Linked DNA regions of Tribolium castaneum. The protein of the gene in region 2 interacts with the protein of the main gene of each other region in a pairwise test. Links are inferred from orthologs where the notes say so. Each region holds a gene or a part of one and is shown on either strand. Other genes may lie near its edges.

Evidence for each region.
Region 1: the proteins of hpo (region 2) and RpS20 interact in a two-hybrid assay, tested with the Drosophila melanogaster proteins (2 studies listed by BioGRID). The link is inferred for Tribolium castaneum from reciprocal best matches to the Drosophila melanogaster genes hpo and RpS20.

The regions. Positions count from the first base shown.
Region 1 is NC_087396.1:10,996,102-10,998,927, forward strand, and holds RpS20 (small ribosomal subunit protein uS10), read right to left. Parts: upstream 1,163-2,826; 5' UTR 1,008-1,162; coding exon 1,005-1,007; intron 937-1,004; coding exon 571-936; 3' UTR 527-570; downstream 1-526. Other genes in the region: protein DEK, read right to left, coding at 2,009-2,023, 2,076-2,228, 2,278-2,526, 2,583-2,826.
Region 2 is NC_087403.1:7,370,072-7,374,576, forward strand, and holds the start of hpo (serine/threonine-protein kinase 3), read right to left. Parts: upstream 2,806-4,505; 5' UTR 2,660-2,805; coding exon 2,646-2,659; intron 2,518-2,645; coding exon 1,997-2,517; intron 1,946-1,996; coding exon 1,658-1,945; intron 1,612-1,657; coding exon 1,478-1,611; intron 1,431-1,477; coding exon 1,265-1,430; intron 1-1,264. UniProt on the Drosophila melanogaster protein: Plays a key role in the Hippo/SWH (Sav/Wts/Hpo) signaling pathway, a signaling pathway that plays a pivotal role in organ size control and tumor suppression by restricting proliferation and promoting apoptosis.

The DNA.
Region 1 (2,826 bases), on a different chromosome or scaffold from region 2:
ACAGCGAACTGGGATGGGCCACACCATAAACAACAAACGATCAACGATGCTGAATCGACTAAACTACTCTAACCTGCAAATGACACCTTGTTCCACATTTGTATTTACACAGTGTGTGTCACTTTTGTGATAACACTGTTTGGCTTAGAGATGAACTTGCACGTTGGGGTCATGAAATGATTCATATGGTGCGAAAAGTGATCTTATTGATTGATTATCGGTCGGTACTACTTTTCGCCTGGCCTTTAATCGGCGGAGGAATACAAAATGGCGGGCAAACATTTAAAACATTACGTCATTTTATATACATAGCAATGAGTGCCAGCGTCACGCCCCACAAATAATAAGATGCTCAACCTCATTATTATTATTGCAGTTGCTGCATTTTTCTATTCTGACTAATAGCGCCACAGTATTGGTGACACCGTGTTTGTGGTCACTGGTCGCAGGATGCTCTGAAGCGTAAACAAAATAGCATCGTTTTTTTTTCAAAATTTTTGGTGTCAATATAAATAAAAGACAAAGCTTCATTGCAGTTTTATTTAGTTCTTATAAAAAACGTTTTAACAATTAGGCATCTGCAATGGTTACTTCAACCTCCACGCCGGGCTCAATGTTGATTGAGGTGATCTGTTTGACGATTTCAGAGGGGGAGTGCAAATCGATGACCCTCTTGTGAATCCTCATCTGGAATCGGTCCCAGGTCTTGGAACCTTCACCACAGGGCGTTTTCCTGGTGGTGATCCGCAAGATCTTGGTTGGCATGCGGACTGGCCCCTTGACGCGCAATTTTTGCTTCTTGGCGGCGTCAATTAAGTCCGAACAGACTTTTTCAAGCGAACGGACGTTTCGGGATGTTAGGGTGATCCGGATGTGGTGGATTGGGGGCGCATCCTGGCCGGGTTTTTCGGGGTTAACCTCTTTGATAGCAGATGCCTTCAGAAAATGAAAGTGGCGTTATTTTTCCATATTACCGTTAGGATTACAGAAATAAGGTCGCTTACCATTTTTTGATAACTTTCTGGTCGAGATAATCAACTTATTTCCAAAAGTTGACCAGCGCTGAACCAGAATTTACCTGGTGCTCAGCCACGCGGTTTCAAAAGTGAACGAGGTTAGGGAATTTTCTCAACACGCGGATTTGGGAAGTTGGGGATACTGTTAATGTTGCGGGACATTTAAAAATTTCGGTAATAAAAAGCAAAGTTATAATAAAGATTGTATTTTGGAAATTAATACAATTCAGATTCTATTGTTAATTACTAAGAGCTACTAGCATAGACATTTTGATAAGACAACAAAGCTTGCTAAAGTTCTGGGAAAATAAAAACACTATTTGATTTACATGTTCCATCTGTAGAAGCATAACGAAGAAATGATAAAAGTACACTGCATTTAAGAAAATAGATTTTTACAATTATCTTTAGACTGCACTCAACGAAAGAAAATTGGTCATTTAAAATCTGCTCTTTACAAAAAATATATTTCTATTTTTGACTATTTTATACAACCGTACAATTTTGTAAAAAATTTTAAATGACCAACAAAACAGACTTTTTGGCTTTAGTTTTACAACATAAAATCGCACGCACGTAAATAATCAAATAAAATCTATTAAAATAATGAAAACAATAGATAATTAACAAATTTTATTTACTTCTCTCCAACAAAAAATGTTCATCTATAATAAAATCTAGCTTAAGATCTCAAAGATAATCATAATTATCAAACACATAAATACTATATTTTAATGCATGTGGAATATTATACAACAAATTGAAACAAATTCTGAGAGAAAAACTTGCATCTCTTACCTTCAGAACTCATTTGCAAAGACTATCCCGGATACGTTAAAACTAACTTACTTAATAATTAGTTTGCCAAAAATGTTATCTGATGAAATGCAAAGTGTAAAATATGAATAAAACGAAATACAAACTTTGTACTCGGACATACACATTGAAGGTTGGTTTTATACAAACTTTAATTCTATAACGCCTCAACAAGTTCACGTTGATATAAGCTGCAAAAATGAAATTGCATGAGAGGAGTCACAAAAGCGAAACAAAACTTACAGATTTTACAGTAGACTTTATGAAATCCTTTTTGTGTGCGAGATCAAAGTCAGGATAATGTGCATAAACTTGTTGACAAACCGTCTTCATTGTGATCTGTTCCAAATTGGCGCCTTCTAAAATTTCTTTCACGTAGGTTTTTATCTCATCATCCTGGAATTAAATTGTCATAAAGAATGTAAACAATTGACTTAAAACATACAGTTGGAGGTTGAGCGCTCTTTGCTGCTTTTTTCACTAAAGGTTCGTCTTCAGAAGAACTGCTTGCTTCCTTCTGCTCGCTCTCTTCCTCCTCTTCTTCGTCCTCTTCGGAACTGTCTTTGTTCTTTTTCTTTCCAGCTTTGGTTGTTTTCTTAGTAGGCGGCCTGCCCCGTTTTCCAGTTCCTTTTCCCTTATTTTTATTGTTAGCTTTTGCAGTCTTCCTCCGTTTAGATTTAGGCTCTTCCTGGAACTGGGATCAAACATTTTAATTTCACACTGAATACGTGTTTTAAAACGTATACTCACGTCGCTGTCTTCGTCTGAAGTAGCACTTTCCATATCGCTCTCTTCTTCGTCCTCAGAGTCGATCTTTTTGCGATCAACACGTTTACGTTTCTTAACTGTTGGCTTTTCATCGCTGCCTTCATCAGAGGGCTCAAAGTCTTCATCGCTGGCACTAGAACTATCATCCTTCAGATTAGATCTTCTACCTTTATCTCGTCCTGACCTTCCGCTATTCCTCTCATCACTAGAATAGTTATCGTGAGAC
Region 2 (4,505 bases):
GGTTATTTCGATCCGTTTATTTACGAAGTAGAAGAAGTAGAAGTAGAGTAGAAGTAGAAGTAGAAGAAGTAGCAATTTCTAAGAAATATTTTGACATTTTGTCGTTTATACCGATAAATGCTCATATTTTTTTACACAAAATTACAAAATACGATTGATTTAAAATAAAAAAATCAAGTTCTAATTATTTTGTGTTATTGAAGTTTTGTTATTGCATTATTAAAATACCACTTAGTCGTTTACAGTTTCACTAAAAAACAAAAAAAAACATGAGAAATGTTATAATAACTGATAATCTCCGTTTTTTCCTTGAATAGAGACAGCATTCAACAGTCAATTTTCCTCTAGACGGCAAATGTAAAATAAAAACTTTTGAAAAAAATATCCTGTAAACTTCATTTGCTGAACCAATAACCTTTTTTTTATTTTGTTATAAGTTACGATAAAGATTAGACAAAAATAAAATAACATATCTCAATTAGATTTTCTTCTGCTTATTTTGAAAAATGAAAAGGTGGAAGTCATTATTTCGTACGTTAATGCAGTGAAAACTTTGGTAGATCTACTTTATCTTACCTTTACTTATTTACTATTCTTAAGAACACTGTTACAGACTTACCAAGTTTTATTAATACCTTACCTTATTAGATAATAATTAAGCTGCTAATGTTTTCTGTTATTCAATTCCATATTTACGTTATAAAATTATTAAATAAGTCAGTTTTATTTCCAAAAATCGTAGGAAATTTGGCGGTGACTGTCACTATTAAAGCTCTTACAATTTAGTTTTATTTTGTGGTGGGCGAATTAGGAAAAGCAAAATGCTACCAAATATGTTTCATGTTTAAAGATTACAGAGAAACACTTGTATGTTTCCACAAATATTATTTTTGAAATTAAGTTTAATTTTCCGATTGCCGGTTAATCAATAAGAGGAACACTTTTTTCTTATTTGGTATAACCCCGATAGGTGGCGCTCTTTGCTACCTTTATCTCACCATCTTGGTATAACTTGGTCCAAAAAAATGGTCAGGCTGTTATTTCAATCCTTTGTAAAAAGTAGCAATTTTCAGGACATATTTTAACAGTTTACCTTTTATACCGATAAATTTAGACATTTTTTACATGAAATTACAAAATATGATTGATTTAGAGCCAAAAGCTACTTTTAATTGAGTCATTATTTAGTTTTTAAAATGCTCACACGCTCAATTTTTTTTATCAGATAAATTTAAGATCTTTGTGTGCAATTAATTGAACTTACGTTTCATGGTTTGTTCGTCAACGTCACTGTTGATAACCATGGTTCCAAGCTCTACTAAAGTACCACTCTGTGATACTGGCAGTAAAGTGCCACCTTTGCCGGGTACCAAGGTGCCTTCATCTGTACAAGGAAGAATAGTCTGATTGCCTAAAGCTACTTCATCATCCTGTTGAAGAATCGGTTAAAAGTTTCAATTTTTGTTGTCAAACTTACTGATTCTTCAGTGATGTTCTGCCTAACGCCTACAATGTTAGCAGCAGAGGATACATTCCTATAACTTTGGTTTTCTCTAATTTCGTGTGCTTCTTGAATCATTTGGCTTAGAATACTAGGGAGCTTAGCATTACCTAAAACAAGGTTAGAGTGACTTGAACTGCGGGAATGTGCTAATACCTATAAATACATGACTGAGTAAATCAGTGGCACTCGCCCTTTCCTCGGGATTTTTAACAAGACAAACGCTAACAAAGTCGATAAATTCGGGCGACCACTTGTCAGGCTCCCGGAACGAAGGGGGCGGCTTGGTTGGGATCATGAATATTGCTCTCATGGGGTGAATATCACCATAGGGTGGTTTACCCTCGGCCATCTCAAGGGCCGTAATTCCTAAACTCCAAATATCAGCAACACAGTCGTATCCTATTTCTTGTATAACTTCGGGAGCCATCCAAAAAGGGGTTCCTGTAACAAAACGTGAAAAAACGCGGCCATTGTGGCGCGATTATGTTCTACCAATCACAGTGTTTCTTTTCGCCATGGTGTCCGTCAGTTGCCCGGCAACGCCGAAATCAGCCAACTTCGCGTGGCCCTCTGAATTGAGTAAAATGTTACCGGCCTTAATATCCCGGTGGATTTTCCGACGCAAATGCAGGTATTCTAGGCCTTTGAGGGTGTCGGACAAAATCGTGGCGATCTCGTCCTCCGTGAGGGTCTTTTTGCGCAGCCTCATGATGTCGGAGACGGAGCCGGCCCCACAGTACTCCATGACAATCCACAGATCAGTGTTCTTGAAATAACTCCCGTAATACTTAACGACGTAGGGGCTGTCGCACTGTTGCATGATTGAGATTTCTTTGATGATTTCTTGAAGATCGGTATCCACAGGTACTTGTTTAATTGCTAATACTTGGCCAGATTCCTTGTGGAGTGCTTTGTAAACACTCCCGTAAGATCCCTCCCCCAGCTTGCATATTATATCGAAAACTTCCTCCGGCTGACGAGTCAAACTCTCCTCAGACAGTTTCTTCAATTCACTAAAACATTCAAAGGCTTAGAGGGCTAATTCGAGCTTTTCGATGACTTCAAAAATAAGAAAAATAGGTTAACTTTTAGACTGACAAGGCTCGTGCGGGCGAACTGTTGGACAATTTACGAAACTTACCTCTTGGAAGACATTTTATTTATTACAAATCACACGTAAGACCAAACACACTACACATCTTTAATTGGAACTTATCTAGAAATTATATGTTCTTGTAATCAAAATCTCCATGTTGAATACAGTCAAATGTTGCGAGTCTGCCGGGTCTAGTACGCAGGCGCGGATTACGAAGAGAATGTTCTTGGACGAGAATGAGAATTCTTCACTGTTTTTTTAATAAATAAATCTTGCAATATGGTAACAACTAATATCATATTTTTTCTAATTAGTACACGTTAGACGAGATGTTTACCTATCTTTTATATAAGTGGGAAGGTTCCTTCAGTATCCTCCGAGAAGTGTCTCCACCTATATCACCAAATCTAGTGACTTTCATCTGTTGATTTTTGGAAAATCGAGTATTTCCCCGAACGCAATTTTTTCATTTCAATACTTTTTGGCCGATATAAGCACGACATTTGTCCATTCAAGAGTTTTTATTGAAGTTTTGATTTTACTTCCTCTCAGTCTTCATTTTTCAAAATATTTTTATAGAGTATAATCGGATTCACAAATGTTTTAATAATAACAGAGAAACTCTGTATATTTTTATAAATATTATTTTAGAAAGTTATATTGTAGAAACGTATTAAATTAAAAAAAATGTTTTCCACATTTTCTTTGATATAACCTGGTTAAAAAGTTTAACAGATAATATTTTAAGGTTTTGCACTTTATATCGATAGATTTATTGGTTTCTCATCACAAAATATATGACTAATTTTGCAATTATTATTTTGATTTAAACAACTTACAAAATTTTGTTTCTGAAAAACGATACATTTTATTAATTGAGTTAATTAAGCTAGATTCATAATTCATCAGTTTTTATAATATTTTACACCGAAATTGCTCATCAAACACGTGCGGATTTTTTTCATTGATAGGTAAATTTTGCAAAGTAATGGCACATTTTCCAAGAAAACAAGTTTATTTAGTTCAACTTATACACAGAATTTAGCCGTTTATAATTTCAGAAAAAAAAACGAGAAATAATGTAATAATAACAACAGATAATCACTGTTTTTTTCCTTGAATAGAGACAGAGTAGTAGTTTAAAGCAGTAGTTAACAGTTGATGACAAATGTAAAATACAAATTTAAAAAAAAACTTGTTTTCCCCTGTAATTTTTATTTGCTGCAGCAATAACCTTTGTAGGGATTTTTTTTAAATTTCGCTATAAGTTGCGATAAAGATTAGACAAAAATAAAACAACTCAATAAGATTTTCTTCTGTTTATCTTGAGAGATGAAAATGTGGAAATCTTATTATTTAGCAAGTTTTGCAACGAAAACTTTGCTAATTCTTTTACATTACCTTCACCTATTTACTATTTTTGAAAATACTATTACGAAATTATCCATTTTTTTTGTTAATATTTAAATAATATGATTAATGTAAGCTGATTATGCCAAATCAAGTCAACTTGATTTAAATAATCGAGTATTTCCCCGAATATTTAACAGTCGAAACAATAGTAGTTTTTTAGTATCTATACAAGATGGCTTCAGCGTTACTGAAAAAAAAAATAACTGATTGTACACATCCTAAGTACAGCAATTTTGAGTAATTGTGTGTGATATCCGCTTCGTCAAAAATGCATTTCCGCAATTATTGCGCTTTATGTTCGATATCTACATAGCGTATTAATGTTGGATTTGATACAAATAATAAACATTTTCTAAGCACAAGGACGTTGTAAAAATGTATTGAGAACATTTATAAAATAAACACAAACATTAATTTAAAATTAAACTATTTTGTATGTTTTTCAGCCCGAAACACAATTATTTCGTGGAAGTTCCTCAAAAATGAGCTGAA